3 linked regions of the Ovis aries genome follow. The protein of the gene in region 3 purifies or fractionates together with the protein of the main gene of each other region. This does not show direct contact. Links are inferred from orthologs where the notes say so. Each region holds a gene or a part of one and is shown on either strand. Other genes may lie near its edges.

Evidence for each region.
Region 1: the proteins of TUBGCP2 (region 3) and LGALS3BP purify together in Homo sapiens (affinity purification with mass spectrometry; 3 studies listed by BioGRID and IntAct, counting the BioPlex papers as one, with this or other methods). This does not show direct contact. The link is inferred for Ovis aries from reciprocal best matches to the Homo sapiens genes TUBGCP2 and LGALS3BP.
Region 2: the proteins of TUBGCP2 (region 3) and MZT1 purify together in Homo sapiens (affinity purification with mass spectrometry; 4 studies listed by BioGRID and IntAct, counting the BioPlex papers as one, with this or other methods). This does not show direct contact. The link is inferred for Ovis aries from reciprocal best matches to the Homo sapiens genes TUBGCP2 and MZT1.

The regions. Positions count from the first base shown.
Region 1 is NC_056064.1:52,753,310-52,759,662, reverse strand, and holds the start of LGALS3BP (galectin-3-binding protein), read right to left. Parts: upstream 3,632-6,353; 5' UTR 3,471-3,631; intron 879-3,470; exon of another isoform or gene 833-878; intron 734-832; 5' UTR 710-733; coding exon 658-709; intron 1-657.
Region 2 is NC_056063.1:48,082,794-48,089,048, reverse strand, and holds the start of MZT1 (mitotic-spindle organizing protein 1), read left to right. Parts: upstream 1-2,313; 5' UTR 2,314-2,356; coding exon 2,357-2,429; intron 2,430-2,455; exon of another isoform or gene 2,456-2,620; intron 2,621-6,255. Other genes in the region: BORA (protein aurora borealis), read right to left, coding at 499-648. UniProt on the Homo sapiens protein: Required for the recruitment and the assembly of the gamma-tubulin ring complex (gTuRC) at the centrosome.
Region 3 is NC_056075.1:51,116,204-51,121,812, forward strand, and holds part of TUBGCP2 (gamma-tubulin complex component 2), read right to left. Parts: intron 5,326-5,609; coding exon 5,166-5,325; intron 5,160-5,165; exon of another isoform or gene 4,437-5,159; coding exon of another isoform or gene 4,428-4,436; intron 4,148-4,427; coding exon of another isoform or gene 3,344-4,147; exon of another isoform or gene 2,949-3,343; intron 2,941-2,948; coding exon 2,733-2,940; intron 2,551-2,732; coding exon 2,351-2,550; intron 2,090-2,350; coding exon 1,900-2,089; intron 1,791-1,899; coding exon 1,645-1,790; intron 270-1,644; coding exon 89-269; intron 1-88. Other genes in the region: uncharacterized protein LOC132658436, read right to left, coding at 3,344-4,147, 4,428-4,436. UniProt on the Homo sapiens protein: Component of the gamma-tubulin ring complex (gTuRC) which mediates microtubule nucleation.

The sequences.
Region 1 (6,353 bases), on a different chromosome or scaffold from region 3:
GGGTGTCTGGGGCCTGGGGTGCAGGTGGGCACCATGGCAAGGAGTGCTGGGAGAGATGTTTGGGAAGGCCTGGGGGCAAAGGTCTAGAGCGCCCTGGAAACACAGGAAGAGTATGCCGGACCAGGAGAGAACGCAGGGTCCCAGCTCCACACTCGTTCTTCTGGGACTCAGCCTGCTGACCTCCCCACCCAGCCCCACCTCAGCCCCTGCTGGAGCCAACAGTGTCAGGCAGGAGCCGGGTGCCAGGTCAAAGGGCACTTCTCAGATGGGGTGTAACAGCCCTTCCATGGGGTCACTGGGAAGAGGAAGGGCCTCTGAGTGTGAAGAGCGTGAGGACAGGTGTTCAGGACTCTGGAAGCTGACTGTCCAAAGGGCACTGACCCCAGGCCCCTCGGGGCTCAGCCATTCTGTGAGCCCCTCCTGCCTGGTCCCTCTGGTTCCGGCTGGATGAGAATGGAGCCCCCTGGCCTCCTCTCCAAATCTCCAAGCCATGAGTGGGGGCAGCCAGGGCTTCACGCAGGAGCGAAGACCCGGGCTGGCCCCTGTAACCCAGGCACCAGGCAGAACACCGCCTTGACTTTCTGCAAGGGGAAGGGGCCGACCTTGTAGAGCAAGGTCACAGACCGCTGCTCTCAGGATTCCAGGGGCTCAGCTCACCTTGAGTCCCCGCGACCAGCAGCCACATCCAGACGAGCCGTAGAGGGGCCATGGCCTTGCCTGGGAGTCCCTTGTCCTGCAGCGAAAGGAGGCAGTAGAGTGAGAGGGTGGAGCTGGACAGGCCTTGGGCCCTCCTTGTGGAGGGTGCTCTGGGTGTCCCAGCGGGGGCCCTCACCTCGTCTGAAGGTGGTCCTCCAAGGATGAGGAAGACTTTCCCAGATGAAGGGAGTGTCTCTGGGCAGTGAGGACAGTGGGGCGAGGTGGGGTGGGGGTGGGGTGGAAAGGTGCCCATATCAGAAAGCTAGGCCCTGGGCATGACTGTCAGGGGGCATGGGTGGGAAGGGCGGGGAGGGAGGAGGCAGAGGGTGCAGGGCCGAGATTGGGGGGGCCTGGGGGAGCCTGCTGAGGGTGGCTGAGAGATGGCAGGGATGGCTCAGATGGCAGGCCAGCCTGCGAGAGTACCCTGAGGTCTGCAGCTGCCAAAGAACATTGCGTGAAATGGACCATGTGGAACCTGGAAGGGAGGGGGACGAGGGTGGGTAGGGTTGGGAGGGAGGGGGACGAGGGTGGGTAGGGCTGGGAGGGAGGGGGACGAGGGTGGGTAGGGCTGGAAGGGAGGGGGACGAGGGTGGGTAGGGTGGGGAGGGAGGGGACGAGGGTGGGTAGGGTGGGGAGGGAGGGGACGAGGGTGGGTAGGGTTGGAAGGGAGGGGACGACGGTGGGTAGGGCTGGAAGGGAGGGGGACGAGGGTGGGTAGGGCTGGGAGGGAGGGGGACGAGGGTGGGTAGGGCTGGGAGGGAGGGGACGAGGGTGGGTAGGGTTGGAAGGGAGGGGGACGAGGGTGGGCAGGGTGGGGAGGGAGGGGGACGAGGGTGGGCAGGGTGGGGAGGGAGGGGGACGAGGGTGGGCAGGGTGGGGAGGGAGGGGGACGAGGGTGGGTAGGGTTGGGAGGGAGGGGGACGAGGGTGGGTAGGGCTGGGAGGGAGGGGGACGAGGGTGGGTAGGGCTGGGAGGGAGGGGGACGAGGGTGGGTAGGGCTGGGAGGGAGGGGGACGAGGGTGGGTAGGGCTGGGAGGGAGGGGGACGAGGGTGGGTAGGGTTGGGAGGGAGGGGGACGAGGGTGGGTAGGGTGGGGAGACGTGTCAGGAGGAGGCCACAGAAACCCGCGAAGGGGTGACAATGGACGGAGAGCAGTGGAGAGACTGGGCTGGGGGTGGGCGCTGGGCGGGCCGGGGAGAGGGCTGAGGGCTAAGAGCCAGGCCTCTGCCTGGGCAGCTGGGTGGGGCTGGGGGGAGACTGGGGGAGGGGAACGAGATGAGAGGACACTCCTGGCCTGGCACTGCCACGAGGTCAGTGTCCCCAAGAAACAGAGGCTGGAGGAGGTGGGGGACCACCAAGGCCACACAGCCAGCCCCGGGGAAGGGGAGCAGGGGGGACCCAAGTCTCTCCGCTTTTGCCGGGGGTCTTGCCTCTGTAACTCTCACAGCTCCCTTTTTCTCTTCGCCCACATCCTGCCCCTCACCTGCCTCCCTCCCTTCATGTCCGCATACCAGCACAGTGAGGTGGGAAGAGGGGCATGGAGGGGGTGCAGAGAGCCCTGCTGCTCTGGCCCAGAGAGGGCCTTGCGACACCCACGCCCCGCCTCAGGGCCCAGCCAGCAGGGCTGTGGCTGCTGTTGTTGCACCCCTCGAGTCAGGGCCTGGTAACCAGACCCTCCGGGGGCTCCCAGGCACGAGGGTCTGCCGACACTGAACACAGTCCCTGGACCAGACTGCTCACACCACTGGCTCATGGAATCCTGACCACGACCTTGAGAAAGACCTTGTTGATCCCACCTTCAAGTGAGGGGGCTAAAGCCCGGAAGGGTAGCCAGCTCTGCTCACACAGCTGGGGAGCTGTGGGTGGTGAGTGGCCATGGGGGAATCTGCCCAGCAGCCACCCTCTCTTCATTACACTGATGGCCGAGTGGCCAGGATGACCAACCACCCAGCACACCAACTGTCCTGGTTTTCGCACTGGAAGTCCCATGTCCTTGGACATACCCTTGGTCCTAGGCACATGGGGACAGCTGGTCACCCTCTGCACTCTCCAGAGAGTGGCGGCCACCAGCTTTGCTCACCCTGAGACACGAACCCAGGGTCCCAGGCAGATGGCCAATCAGGCACTTGGCTCATGGTATGCAAATGTCACTGCCCCTCCGGCTGGCTCTGGCCACCCATTTTTGCCTGACTCATTGGAGAGATGGGGCAGAATTGTCTGCCTGGGGCCATTCCACACTCTTGCGCAAATTGGGGAAAGGTGCAGCCTGAGCTGAAATGGCAACCCACTCCAGTACTCTTGCCTGGAAAATCCCATGGATGGAGGAGCCTGATAGGCTGCAGTCCATGGGGTCGCTAGGAGTCAGACATGACTGAGTGACTTCACTTTCACTTTTCACTTTCATGCATTGGAGAAGGAAATGGTAACCCACTCCAGTGTTCTTGCCTGGAGAATCCCAGGGACAGGGGAGCCTGGTGGGCTGCCGTCTGTGGGGTCGCACAGAGTTGGACACGACTGAAGCTGCTTATCAGCAGCAGCAGCAGCAACAGCCTGAGCTGAAAAGCACTGATCGGAGAGAGCGCCTCGGCTGAACTGCTTGCCCCTTTGGGTGGTCTCCTTGTGCACCAGTGAACAACCTGCCCAAATGGACAGAGAGACACAGGAGCAGCAGTGATGGTCCCTAGTTTCAGGAGGAGCATCAGATCCCTAACTGAGCACAGGCAGGGAGACTTGGCCACTGTAAGATTATACTGTATAAAGAGAGGGACACCCACCTGAGAGCAAGAGGTTACCAGCTTACCTGCCTGGGGCACCTGCAGATGGCTGTCCTAAGGCCTCCCACTTGCAAAGGAACGTCCAGCCCAAAAAAACCCTCCCAGTACAGAGTGTGTCAGGTTGGTCCCAGGAAGTGCTTCAGAAAGCTCAGTCTAGTTTCGATTTCGAGAAACCACCTGACCCTGTTTCCTTCTGGGGTTGGCTGCTGCCAAGGCTTCCTGCTCCCCTCCCCGCCCTTGGCTCTGACTGGGGGCGGCTGGGATGGCGGTGGGGAGGATGGCAGCCGCCCAAGGCTGCAGTCTGGCTGATTCTGCTCTGGTTACAGAGCAAGGCAGCGGCGCCAGGGGTGGGTGCTGGGGGAAGGGAGAGGAAGGGCAGCAGGCGTCAGCGGTCAGAAGAGCAGAGGATGGGCGTGGACAGGTTCTGTCTGCATCCAGGGACCCTGGGCTCTTTCACTGCACGCCCATGCCCGTCTCCTGGGTCTCACATGTTGCTGGGGGCAGCGGTAGGGGGGCTGCTCGCTCGGCTCTAAGCACTTGACATGCCTGGCCTGAACATCTCATCCCTCTGGGGCAGGGGCAGAGCCTCTGGGGTGGACTTTGTTCTGCCCCTCCCACACCCACTCCCTTTCCTTCCCTCTGACAGAGAGCCTGCACCTCGATTTCCCCTGGGGAAGCACTCTGGATCTGGCCTGAGTCTGGCAGGTTGGAGACAATGGTGTCAGGGAGGTGTTGTGATCCCAGCCCTCTGAGGGGTCAGTTTTAGACTGCTGGAAGGAGACCCTGTAGGGAGCAGGCGGCCTGGAGGCGCTGATGCCCCTGGTGCCCCCGACTGTGCCCTGAGGAAAGCCCAGCTGAGGATGCAGGTGAGGGCAGAGCTGAGAGAGGGAGGAACCTAGGTCCTGATGCTATGGTTTGAGCACCTGTGTCCCCCTGGCCTGAACTCAAGGCCAAGCCCTGGCTTCAAGGCCAGATGAGGCGTCAACATCCTATTTTGCTTCTGTCTTTTGCATCCCAGGTTCTGGACGAGAGTTATCCCCTAGGAATGTCCCCAGGTCTCTCTAACCTGCTGGCTGTCACCATGGTCGGCTCCTGAGAATCACCCAGGAGTCTCACAAACTCCCAGCGTCCAGATCCACAATCTCTGGGGTGGGGACAGGCGTTGGCCTTAAAGCCTTGCAGGTGGTTCTATGTACAGCCAGGGCTGAGAACCATCAGTAGGGAGACAGAGTTTCCCTGGCAGCTCTTGAGTCCAAGAGAGTGAGCCCTCGGGTCAACCATCCAATGACTATTTGCCCAAAACGTGAGGTTTGAGGGGACTATGGGCTTATATGATCCCCTCCAAAGAAGCTGTAAAGCTCCGTGGGGGGAAAGGGGAGTGGAGCCGCAGAAACAGAAGCGGCAGAAGAGACTGGAGAGATTTAACATCCCACCCAACTGAAGGAGCCTCAGTGCTGGCTGTCACAGAAACCCTGGCCTTGTCACTTCTAGCCTCCATTGGTTCCTTGCCCCAGTAAGGAGCTGGTCAGGGTCAAGAGTGCAGAGGAAGTCCTTTGGGAGGAACTGGTGGCGATGTTGGAAAAACCCAAGCTGCCGAAGGGTTTGGGATCAAAGCAGGGGTGATGTTCCCCTCCGGCCTTTCCAGTCTTCTGCCCACTAAGGGAACTGGAACAAGAATTGAGGCCATCTGCTCCAGACAGAAGTGACTAAGCTGTGATAAGGAGACCATCCGTGAAAGTCTCGGCTCCACAGATAATCGGGCCGGTGGGGACCATGCGGATGCGGCTGCTATAAGCAGGCAGCCACAGCTGACACAGTCGGAGTGTGCTGGGGGCTGTCAGAGACCAGAGCCCGTATGAAGCCTTTAGACTTTCTTTCGTGCCTCCTCTCCTGCTCCGACACACAGGGGGACGCTGCCTGTGATGCTAACACAGAGACAGCTGGCACGGCTATCATCTTTGATGGGACCCATTCAATACTCCCAACCTCTACAGGAAGTTGTTGTTCAGCCACTCAGTCATATCCGACTCTTTGCGACTCCAAGGACTGCAGCACGCCAGGCTTCCCTGTCCTTCACTATCTTCCAGAGTTTGCTCAAACTCATATCCATGGAATCGGTGATGCCATCCAACCATCCCATCCTCTGCCGCCCCCTTCTCCTCCTGCCTTCAATCTTTCCCAGCATCAGGGTCTTTTCCAATGAGTCGGCTCTTTGCATCAAGTGCTCAAAGTGTTGGGAGCTTCAGCTTCAGCATCAGTACTTCCAATGAGTATTCAGGGTTGATTTCCTTTAGGACTGACTGATTCAATCTCCTTGCTGTCCAATGGACTCTCAAGAGTCTTCTCTAGCACCTCAGTTAGAAAACATCGATTATTTGGCACTCAGCCTTATGGTCCAACTCTCACATCCATACATGACTACTAGAAAAACAATAGCTTTGACTATATGGACCTTTGTCGGCAAAATGATGTCTGCTGTCTAGGTTTTAAAATGCTGTCATAGCTTTTCTTCCAAGGAACTCTTATTAACTCTTTTTTTAAAAGTTTACTTATGTATTATTTTTGTTGCACTGGGTCTTCGTTGCTTTCTCGTTGCTTTCCCTAGTTGCCTCTAGTTGCTTCTTCGTTGCTTTCTCTAACTGCAGCGAGCAGGGGCTGCTCTCTAGCTGTCCTGCGTGGGCTCCGCACTGTGCTGGCTTCTCTTGTTGTGGAGCACAGGCTGTAGGCACATGGGCTCAGCAGTTGTGGCACACAGGCTTAGCTGCCCCGAGGCATGTGGAATCTTCCTGGACCAGAGATCGAACCCGTGTTCCCTGAATTGGCAGGCAGATTCTTAACCACTGGACCACCAGGGAAGTGCTCTTATTAACTCTTTAATAGATG
Region 2 (6,255 bases), on a different chromosome or scaffold from region 3:
AAAATATTTACTATCTGGCCCTTAACAGAAAAAGTTTGCTGACCCCTGGTACAGAGTACAAGCTCTCTGAGAATTAGTGTTTTATGACTCTGACTTGTTCGAGATGTAACCTCTGCAGGAAAGAACTGTACCTGACACATACCATTCAAATAAAATGTGCTGAATACCTGAAAATAATTAGACGAAATAGTTTCTTCTCTATTATGGTATTAGTACTTAGACCATCAACATAGTAACTAGTGGCACCCACAGCTGTGAGAAACATGCTAACTAAAAAAAAGCAAGTTGAAAGCTAAGCCTGGGTGGCAAAAATCCAAAAGAATATTAGTATAGCTAGTATATATAATATTAGTATAATTAGCTAAGTCATTTTTAGTCCAGTCACTATATTATAAAAACCAATAACCATTAGAATTAAAAAGTGCACTCCAGTTTACCGCTTGTAAAGAAAGACTGACATTTAAAGTTATTCGGAAAAAGTAGTCGAGACTAACTTACCGGTAATTTTGTCGATTTAAAAACAGGACTGGAGACAGTTTGTTCATGGAGATTAGAATAATCACCAGGACTTTCAAAAGGATTTAAAATAGGAATCCTTCCTGGAGTTTCAGGTGTTATTTGCATTTTTGATTCTTTGACATCTCCCATAGCACAGAGGAAAAACTAAAAAGAAGTCATAAGTATATATAATAAAAGTACAAAGTTCCACAGACATTCATTTTGACAACTAAAGTGTATTCAACAAAGGTTGTTGTTGTTTAGCATCCAGGTGGAGTCCAACTTTTTGCGACCCCATGGAGTATAGCCCACCAGGCTCCTCTGTTCATGGGATTTCCCAGGCAAGAATGCTGGAGTGGGTTGCCATTTCCTTCTCCAGGGGATCTCCCCCATCTAGGGATCGAATGCACGACGCTTGCCATTGGCAAGCGGATTCTTTACTGCTGAACCACCAGGGAAGCCCCATTACCAAACATACATTTCACAAAAAGAATTAACTCAAAACTTAAGCTCCTGGGGCTTTTTTGTAGTTTACACAAGTGTGATGCTCTAAATAATCTTGAAAGCTAGAAGGGTAGGTAAAGTATTAGTGACAGAATTTTGCAGGAGAATTAACAAGCTCAGAGAAGTCAACTGGTTTGTAAGTAGCACTCAACCGAATGTGAATGAGGTGAGTTCCCCCTTCGGGACAACTAAACGTTCTAATAGGCACAAAACCTTTTCCTGCTAAAGAACAGTGGACCTACAGCTTTTTATTATCTCAAGTCTGTAAACAAACACTTTGTACGTAATTCCAACAGCCCAGCAATTACCCAGCAAACTGCAGTTACTAAACAGTTATTTATAGCATCACCAACTCAATGGACATGAGTTTGAGCAAACTCCAGGAGATGATGAAAGACAGGGAAGCCTGGCGTGCTGCAGTCCACGGGGGTCCCAAAGGGTCGGAAAAGCCTGAGCGACAGAACAACAGTAGCAAATAAGAGACGAGGAAAACTCTGGTCCCTTTGTACATAGGTGCCTGTCTTGCACTTTAGCCCCCATCAGAAAAGAAATGACTGATTAGGGCTACGAAATTAACCGCTTTGGGTTGCCTCGTCTCAAACACCCTTAGCCTTTGGCTAAGACCCCCACCCTCCCACGATGGAAGCGAGACTACATTATTTCCCGTTAAGGTGAGGGGCAGTACAACTAGAGAAAAGAACCCACTCCATGGAAGGCTGATGTGTAGCTAGCTTCCTCGGATGACAGGCAAAGGAGAACACTGACGCCAGTGTCATTCCCATCCCTACTCGATCACTCTTCTCTGGGGCCCCCTCTTCCACACCCACTCCCCGGTAGCTCTCATTCATTCCCAGGCGAGCGTGCAGCTGATTCAGAGCCGGGCAAAGGGAGTTCTCCAACTCGAGACAGGAGGAAAGGCCAGGAATCACAAAGAACATACCTAGTTGTGTATATAAAAAGGAAGCCCCCCCAAAGCGACTCCAGGGCGCTCCCGACGGTGCCGGGTAAGCTCCCACGACAGGCACAGACTCTTTAACTCCCCGCTTCCGCGCTGTCTCAGGCCAACCAGCGCACGGGCCTTGTGCGCGACTGGCCAATGACGTCGTACCGCTGTCCGCGAACCAGCCAATCGCAGCGAGGCCGCGTAGTAAATTCGAATGGCAACTCCTCGCTTCGCGTTCTGCCCAGAGTATCGCGGCTCCAAATTCAAATCAACGCAGCCTCACGCTGGCGAACAGCGCGAGAGGCGGGGCCTGCCGGCGTGAGCCCGGAACGCGCGGTGTGATTGCCCAGGAGAAAGGAAGGTGCTCCAGTTCCGGGTCAGGCCCTTCGCCCGCCTCCCTCGGCCTCCGCCATGGCTAGCAGCAGTGGCGCCGGGTCGGCGGCAGCGGCAGCGAATCTGAATGCGGTGAGGGAGACCATGGACAGTGAGTGCCCGTTTCGCCCCCTTTACCTTGCCTCTGTTCCCCAGAGCCAAGGCCCTGGGGCGGGGCTGGGCCCACGAGGACTTCAGGTCCACTTCCTGCCCCGCTCGGCATCTTTGGAGATGCTTCTAAGGGACCCTCCAGAGCTGATGGCCCCATCCTTTGAGAGTCGTCTCTCCGTTCCTGCGTAGTTTGTCGCGCGCACGGCGTTGCGGTCTCACGTCAGCCCGGCGCGCGCCTGGTCCCTCCCGCAACGGACCCTGCGCGCCGCCTGTTTCCCGCCTCGAGGGCTTTCTCCCGAGTGCTCATTTCGCGCCCTCTCCCGCGCCCAGTCCCCGCGACCTTCCTCGCGCGAGCTCATGCCACGCCTGGTCCCCGCGCCGGTTCCCCCGCATCCCTTCTCCTGCGCCGGCCTCGCGCGCCTTGCCCACCCCGCGCGCCGCATCCAGTGAGGGGAGCGCCTCCGAAGCGCCCCAGACTGTGAGCTCCTTGCAGACAGTGGCTTCCTGTGTTTGATCACCGCTCCATCCCTCCTTGTACCTTGCGCTGCAGCGGGAGCATGTTAAATACCTACCCCTTGAAGAAACAAGTTGTGCTTTAATCAGAGTTGCCCCCGTTTAGTCCTGGAGCCGGTGATGCCGGTGTCCGGAGACCGTGGGCGTATTTACCTGTTTTGCAGCAGGGAGCACGCAGGTAAAAACTGCCCGCAAGTAATAGAGGAAAAAAGTGTCTTGGAGTTACCCTGTCTTTCCTTTCTTTCTATTGCCGGCTCTGCCACTTTATAGCCCTGGTGTAGGCTTGGACAAGTCGTTTAAACATCTTTGAGCCTGCTTTTTTTTTTTTTACCCCAGTGAAACAAGACTGCTACCTCGTGCTGTGTGAGTGCTAAGTCGCTTCAGTTATGTCCGACTCTTTGCGACCCAATGGACTGTAGCCGGCCAGGCTCATCTGTCCATGGGATTCTTCGCTCAAGAATACTGGAGTGGCTTGGGTTGCCAGGCCCTCTTTCAGGGGATCTTTTCAACGAGGGATCGAACCCAGGTCTCCTGCATTGCAGGCAGATTGTTTACCGTCTGAGCCACCAGGGAAGCCCCCTACTACCTCCTAGGATTATTGTAAACATTTAAATAAGATAACCTGATAAAGGTATCTCGAAGGTGACCATTAACAGGTAGTTCTTGCACTGTTTTTGTGTATAAACATCATTCCGCGACCCCTTTTGTTGTCCCCATTTTATTTGCCTGCATCTGTATATGTGTGTTTGATAGATGTTAAGTTTTGCTTTTTTGCGTTTTCCAAGGGATACCCACATGAACTGCTGTCTCTTTCAAACCGTGAAATTCTCATTAAGCAGTGTCAGCCTTCATGTCCTATCTCTGGCTCTTTCACTATAGGCTCCACTTCCTATTAGAGCTCCTTCTTTATGAGGACTTGTGATAAAGCTTATGATTTTCTTTGCACTCGCTGCTGCTTCGCTTTTCAAAGAATTTTTTTTTATTAAGAGTCTTTGCTTCTAATATTTTACTCAGTGTCTGCTTTTGTCTTTTTCTGAAAAATGGAATTTTGTTAATACCATATTCAGCCTATTTTCCCATCCTTCTTGAAATAGCAGAACTTATTAGTTTTATTTTGTAAGTGGATTTGTGTACATAGAGACTAGTGTACACCATTATTGTCTTACATCTTTGCTTGGAAGCCAATGTGGTTTCTGAACAGTGTGAAGTGTATTTGAGGCCTGACTTCTAGTCAGTTTTCTTATATTAACTGTTCCTTATTATATGGGCACAGGATTCCATTTGAATAGAAAGCCCACATTTTCTCTCTGATGAAACTACTGATACAGAAATGAGAACTGATTGTTTTTAATTGGCTGCATCATCAAGGTTTTCACAGACAGAACTGCAGATTATAGTGTTAGAATATGAAAAAGTGAAGAAAGACCAGATTATTTTTTCTCAACCAACACTGGCGGAGAGAGTGTGCAAAGTAGAGAACACTGCTCCTCTATACACAGTGTGTCCCCAAATCAGAAGGTAAAAAGGAAAGCCCCAGGTTGGCAGTGTATCAACATGTGTTAAATGTGGCAGTTAGGTCCTGTCATGTCCATTGGAACTAGCTGCTATCATGCCATGCATGCATGATCAATCACTCAGGCATGTCCGACTCTTTGCCATTCCACGAACTGTAGCCTTCTAGACTTGTCTCTCCGTGGGATTTCCCAGGCAAGAATAATGAAGTGGGTTGCCATTTCCTCCAAGGGATCTTCCCAACCCAGGGATCAAACTGACATCTCCTGAATCATAATTGAGTCCAAAACAGTCAGTCAAAATGTGTAGTTTTGCAAAGTTAATGAAATATTTTCCAGGCTGTCTCTAATGATTGAGGCACAAAGGGAAACATAGGGACACTTTCACTGTTAAGAATTGACCACACACTCAACTGAAAAAGTCCTCAATGCAGTCCTTTAATAATCCCACCTTTCTCCACTCGCATTGCCAGAAATAGAACTTTAACTTGCCCAAGGAACTGGGCTGACCTACATAAGCCAATGCAGGAGACATGGGTTTGATCCCTGGGTCAGGAAGATCCCTGGAGAAGGAAATGGCAACCCACTCCAGTATTCTTGCCTGGGAAATCCCATGGACAGAGGAGTCTGGCGGGCTACAGTCAATGGGGTTGCAAAAGAGTAAGACATGACTTAGCCTTAGCGACAGTAACAACAAATTATGTTTTTGGCAATGGTGATTAAAATTTCCTTCTTCCCTACTTGAGGCTTCAGTGTGATACAGTTGTTCCTCAGTATTTGCCGGGAAATTGGGTTCAAGGCACCCTCACCCACCCACCCATACCACAATCTGTGGGTGCTCAAGTCTGTCATATAAAATGGCTAAGTGTTTGCATATAACCCACATTCATCCTCTTGTATAGGGGCTTCTCAGGTGACTGAGTGGTAAAGAATCTGCCTGCCAAGAATTTTTTTTCCCAAATATTTTCAATACACAGTTGACTTGTATCAAGTTGTAAACTAGCAAAAGAAGTAAAGAGAGTCCACAGTGTGCAAGGCAGTGTTGGTGAAGCAAACATATAGCCCATGCTCCCACCATCAATCCCCTTGCTTTCTCATGTGAGGTCTCCCCTACCTCTATCCTTCACTAAGCTTCTTCAGTTCTTCACTCATCTCAGACTTGACCTTTTGTATTAATCTCTCCTGTCCATGCCACCTACCAGTCTCTGCATAATTGCAATAACTTATCTGGACTCCTTCTCCCCAGGTCTTACACTGGGAAGAACTTGGTAAATGAGACTGAAAGGCTCATGTAAAGACAGTGTAATTATGGTTGTGAAATGTGAGATGAGCCAGACAGGAGAATATACTAAGGCCCTATTGAAGATTTGAGAACTCTTGGAAGCTACTACATTTAAAACAGGAATATGACAAGATCAGATATTCTTTTTTTTTTTTTTTTAAGATTTTGCCTTCAAGGCTGCAGTGCAGTGGCAGGATGGGAGTAACTGAGGCAAAACCCAGCAGATACCTTGAGTTGAGCAGGAGTTTAGGGTCCAGGGAGACCAAGGCAGGCAGAGTTTTTAAGACAGAGTACCTGAGAGGAAAGAGCCTGCACCTAGAGAGAATTCTGGAGGTCCATGGAATGTTCTCCCTCAGGTATTCAGCATGGCATTGATCAGTGTGCAAGGAAAGTACCCCAAAAAGATACCAAAGGATCAAACTGTTTCTAGATAACTATATCTCATGACAAAGCTTGAGAATATGTATAGAAATACAAAACTGTCAAACACCCAGCACAGTAAAATTCACAATGTCTGGCAT
Region 3 (5,609 bases):
AGGAGGCCGCGCACCTCGGGTGGGCCGCGAGCCCCTTCCCCCCTCAGGCGGGCCGCGAGCCCCTTCCCCCCAGGAGGCGGCCGCGCACCTCAGGTGGGCTACGAGCTCCTTCTCCTCCATGAGGAAGCCCAGCAGCACCTTGCTGGCGTAGCCAAAGGCCTTTTCGATCTGCTCCACGTACGCCCGCTCCTTCAGCGTGTAGATGACCTCTTTGGCCGCCGGACAAGTGACGTCATGGCCACATTCCCTGACCACGTTCAGGTATTTTCCTGGAAAGGGATGGAGAAAAGCGCATCGCAACTTTTGCTGCACAAGTGACCAACCGCAGGCCTGGACCTGAGAGGCCGAGTCCTATCGCTAGCCCGAGGCCAGGAACAGAACCACCTGGGAGAGAACGGTCCCAGAAACCACGCCCCCTGCCCCGCCCAGAGCAGAGCAGCACAATACAGGCGTCATCCACGGAGCGTGCGACTTCCTGCGACTCCTCACCGCGGACTTTCCTCATCGAGGCCATGAGAATCACCTCAGAGAGCCAGACCCTGCACCACTTCCCAGCCCTGCCCCCAGCCCAGCTCTCAGAACCAACGTCAGGGCCCTGGCTGGAGCCTCCCCAGGTGACGTGTAACACACGTGTCTCTACACAGGTTCCTGACCCACAAGGTGATGCCTAGAAGCACCACCGGTCCAGCAGGGCCTGTGCCCTTCCCTGCTTTTCCGCTGCTGGCCTGTGATGCTGGGAGAAACGCGGCACGTGCGTCTGGCCTTGCTCCTGGTCCATCACTGAGCACCTGGAACCCTCTCACCCCACCTGAGTTCACACCCTCAAGGGGACTCCTGGCCGTCCCTGCAGACCTTCAGGAGGCAGGCCAGCGGCCAGAGGGACCAACCACATGGCAGGACAGCGAGACCCTCGGCCCTTCCCGATACCTGGGGAGGAGAGGGGCTGGTGGTCAAGTTAGGGACCAACGGCCCACGAGAGGACCAGTCGTGCCCTGTCCTGGAACCAACGTGATCCCGCTACGGGACAGGCTTGGAGAGCTTCTGGGCTGATGAGCACGTCCACCTGCTAGGAGGGAGGGGCCTGGTGGCCCCCAGCTCCTCGGGGACAGACACACTCCCGAGTGTGGGACCCTCCAGACCTGCCCTGCAGACCTCCTCGGGCTGTTTGTCTGTATCCATTACAACATCCTTTATAGCAGGCCAGCGTATCTGCTAAGTAAAGTTTCCCCAAGTCTGGGGGTCGTCACAGCAAATATCAAGCCTGGGGAGGCCCCAGGACCCTGACTGGGGGCCACACTGACAGACACGCAGCGGCCTGGGGACCCGATGCTCATGACGGGCGTCTGCCGGGGCAGGCCTCGAGGGAGGCCTGATCCCTGGGCCCACACTGCCCCGGCGGTTAAGTGTCAGATCCAAGTTCAGTGGGGTGGTCCCCTAGCTGGTATCCACAGGGGCGCTGGGCGCTGGCTGCTGTGTGGAGACGCAGGCGCCCGGGGGAGCAGTGGCGGGGGCGCTGGCTGCTGTGTGGAGACCCAGGCGCCCGGGGACCGGGGAGCGCAGTGGCGCCCGGGGAGCGCAGTGGCAGGGGCGCTGGCTGCTGTGTGGAGACGCAGGCGCGCGGGGGCGTGCGGGGCCGGCACTCACCCGTGCTCAGCACCTTGCCCGCCATCTTCTGCAGGAAGGACGGGATGTGTCTCTGCACCACGGTGTAGCGCTGCTCCCAGTACTTGTCGTTGTAATCCTCCTGGATCTTCTCCTTGCGCAGCTCGTGTTCCTCCACCATGAACTCGCTGCAAGGCAGGGCGCGCGGTCCCAGGCGTGCAGGGGGCGGGGGGCCGCAGGGCCGCTCTCCACCCCCCCGCCCCCGCGGCCCCCCCCCCCCGCGGCCCCCCGCCCCACCTATACGGGTCGTCGATGATGCCCCTGTAAATCCACTTCTCCAGGATCTCGAAGTAGGGCACGCTGGCGGCCGTGGTGAGGTACAGACACAGCTCCTGCGCCTGGCTGTCCCCCGTGTAGCTGAAGCTCCGGTCGTGCAGGAGGCTCAGGGTCGCTCCCCCGACACACTCGCCTTTATCCACCGAGGTGGCTGCCGGGGAGAGGGCGGCGTTCAGTGCCGAGAGGGCCCCTGGCCACGCTGAGCGAGAGCCCTCAGCTCATCTCCCACCTTCTCAGGGGAGAGGTCCTCTTTCTGGGATAAATTCAAACTATGAAGCTAGGGTTTCTGGGAACTCCCAGAGTCAGTCTCTCGCAAATTCATAAAACGTAAAGCTACACAGCCTCGGACCGTTTGAAAAAATCGAAGACAAGCACCTTGACCCAGAGGGTCCCTCCCACCAGGCCCTCACACCTAGGGAGGCCAGGATGTCCACAGTGCGCATGGCTGGCTGAATGTAGAACCAGAGCTTCTGCAGAGACAGCAGGCCCTGCCTCTGCAGCTGCTCCAGCTGTGTGACCAGGATCAGGTACTCCTTCAGCAGCGTTCTCATGGCGGCGGCCAGAGCGTGGTTCACCTGTCCATACTCGAAGGAGGACTTTTCCTCGATGAACCTGAGAGGAAGGCGGCCCTGAGCACGAGCAGCAGGGGCTGCGTCTCGGGAGGGATGGCCCGAGGGCCTGTGGGTGCCACCTCCCGCGCTCCTCCGGGTCTGCGGGCCCTGCATGGAGGCCGGCCTCTCTGCAGGAGGGCTCCGTGCACGCGCTCCAGTCACTGTGGCAAGCCGGGTGCCTACCTGGTCACTGTGGAGTAGCTGGCAGCCACGGGCAGGATCCTGCTCACCAGCTCTCGGATGGACAGGTCCAGATTGGGGTCCACGAGGAAGGTTCGGCTCTGCCTCCCGGTGAGGGGCTGGGCCGTGATGTACCTGCCGTCCACACCCACCAGCACGTACAGCAGGTCCTCCACGACGGCCGCCTCCTGGGAGGCCAGAGGCAGCGTGCCTGTGGGTGCAGACACCAGCGGGCCTCGCCTCCAGAGCCCCACTCCACTGGCCTCTCTCCCCCACCCCCTCCCTCCATGTAACTTCCTCCAGCACCGCAGATGTGAAAACCAAGGTGACTGCCTGGCTTAACTGATCCCATCAGGGAACCAACGGCTGAGACTCCACAACCTCCACCAGCAGAGGCACTGACCACCCGACAGGCAGGGACCACACGGCGAGTCTGGAGCTGACGATCAGAGCCTTAAAGCAAGGGAAACCCTCCACACACAAATAACCGCTTCATCTTCAAAGGGACGTGAGCGTCTTGGCCTCACAACACTCACAACCTGGTGAGGCTGGGTCGCTCAGAAGAAGGCCGGGACCAGGCTTTGCTGTGGGAGGGTCAAAGGCGGGCGCCACGGTCACCACGTGGCCAGGAGGAGACACCAGGGAAGCTGGAGCCCGTCACGGACGTGGCGATCGGGAGGGGCGTCAGACAGCACACTGGGCCTCATGGGGCACAGCAGATCCCTCCTCACAGATGGGGTCCCCCAGAAAGGGGAAACTTGAGAGCTGGGAGCTCTGCCTGAGGCCTCAAGGCTGGGGTGGGGGCTGTGGAGGGGCGAGGGACAGAGCCACGTGCTGCTCAGACTCCAGGAAACTGGCCGTGTCTGTAGGACCTGAGCCCGAGGCTCGGGGACCCAGCGGGAACCACACACACGGTTAGAAGCCACAAGACGCCTGTGCCCGCGGCCTCGGGAACAGGCCAGGAATTGTGGAGACGCGAGTCTACGCTGCCCAGCCGTGGGCTGGATGGCCCAGACAAGCAGACGGAGCTGGAGGCTGGCGTGAGGAGGGACGGCCTGGTCACAGGCGGGGGGCACGCCTCTGCTGTAGGAAGGGACTTGGGCGGCAAAATGACTGTGGGGGGCACCACGTAGCTGGCGAGGGATGCCCAGCAGGGCTGCTGCACGCCACGCAAGGAGGCAGGGCCCCCCAGGAGAGGCTACGTCCGGGGGACAGCAGGGAGGACCGAGGATGACTGTGATGCTCACAGGCATCTTGGCATGGATGGCACTGGGGCCTGTGGTGCCAGGCCAGGGCATGACGGAGGCCAGAAAGGTGACACCGGGCCGGTGGGACAGACGCCGATCTCGCCACCAGAGCCCACGCAGTGTGGCTGTTGGAGGGAAACGGGCAGGCCACCTGTCCTGGCCAAGTCCTCCCTGAAATAGCATCACACGAGGTGGCCTCAGGGGCCACCCTCAGGCACAGCGCACCCTTACCAGCGGGCAGCACAGCAATCCCGCTACAAAGGAAACCTGCCACATCGAACCCCGTGAGCCCGGCCGCCCTAAGAACCAGCGCCCGGCTGCCTCCGCTTCGCGGGGCTGCACCTCCCCTCAACCCGGCAAAGCCTCCCAAGAAGGCTCCAAGCAGTGCCTCACGTGGGCCTGGAAACTACTGCGTCTTCTAACTGATCCAAACATGCAAATCAACACTCACATAGTGCATGACCTCGGGGAACAGCTTCCCTCAGGGGTTTTCCCACGGAACCTCTCTGGATCATGTTGAACGTGCAGCTGCCCCAGGAGGCAGGGCTCCAGGACGCAGGGCTCCAGGAGGCAGGGCCCCAGGAGGCAGGGCTCCAGGAGGCAGGGCCCCAGGCTCATCATCAGAGCCCCCCCCCCCCCCCCGCCCCTGCTTCCCGCCCTTGGGTGTGGCCCCGGGGACCAGGCTCCATGAGCCCCACCACACGAGACCGCTGCAGGGCAGGCTCCTCTAGTGCCTGTAAACATGGCCGTGCCTCCGCCCCCGTCTCCCCTGTACACTGTGAGCAGGAGGGCAAGACACAGCTCTCTGCCCCCAGGGGGTCATGAGACGTGGGGGAGGGGCACAGACACCCGCACGCCCCAGCGCCCCTTGGTGCTCGTGGCCGAGGCCATCATCCTGATGGCAGAACCTGCAGGGACGTGACTCACTGTCGAGGACGACGACCCTGGGGATCCCGCTGCCCCCAAGTCTGCCCAAGCCCCAAGACACGCACGCTCCTGAGAGCCGGGGCACATCACCACCCACCGGTGGGGGGCAGGGTGCGGAGGCCAGCGGGTACCGCGTGTTGCCACATGGCCGAGGGCAGCAGAGGGCTTGGGGGCGGCACGCCGCCATCCACCCACCACCTCCAAGGAGATCAGCTTCCCTGTCCCCGTGAGGCCCCACTGTCCAAAGCTGTGCGTCACCTACCGATGGGCACAGCCACGTCTGCGCTCGCGCCTGAGCCGGTCAGGAAGTCCCCGAGCAGCGTAGGCCTCTCGTACACCCACGCCGGGAAGACTGGGAGGCGCTGCCCTGAGTTTTTTTTGTTCTGCTTGTCTCGAAGCAACTTTCTCGTGAGTTCCAGAGACTGGGGGGGGGGAGGTTTTTAAAGACAGAAAGAAAACACACACCTTTAGCACAAACACTTAAAGTTAACACACTTACTGTATGAAAAGACACATCCCTAAGCATGTGTGAGGAACACACACACGTGGAAGCGAACCGCACGTCAACGCCCATCATGGTGACGGGGCGGGGCCCAGGTGGAGCAGGAGCCCCCGGCACGCAGGCGCCCAGAGCCCTCAGCGCACCCTCACGGCTCGCCCTGGCCCTCGATGCAGGCCTGAGCTGCCAGCTGGGCACAGTGCCCAC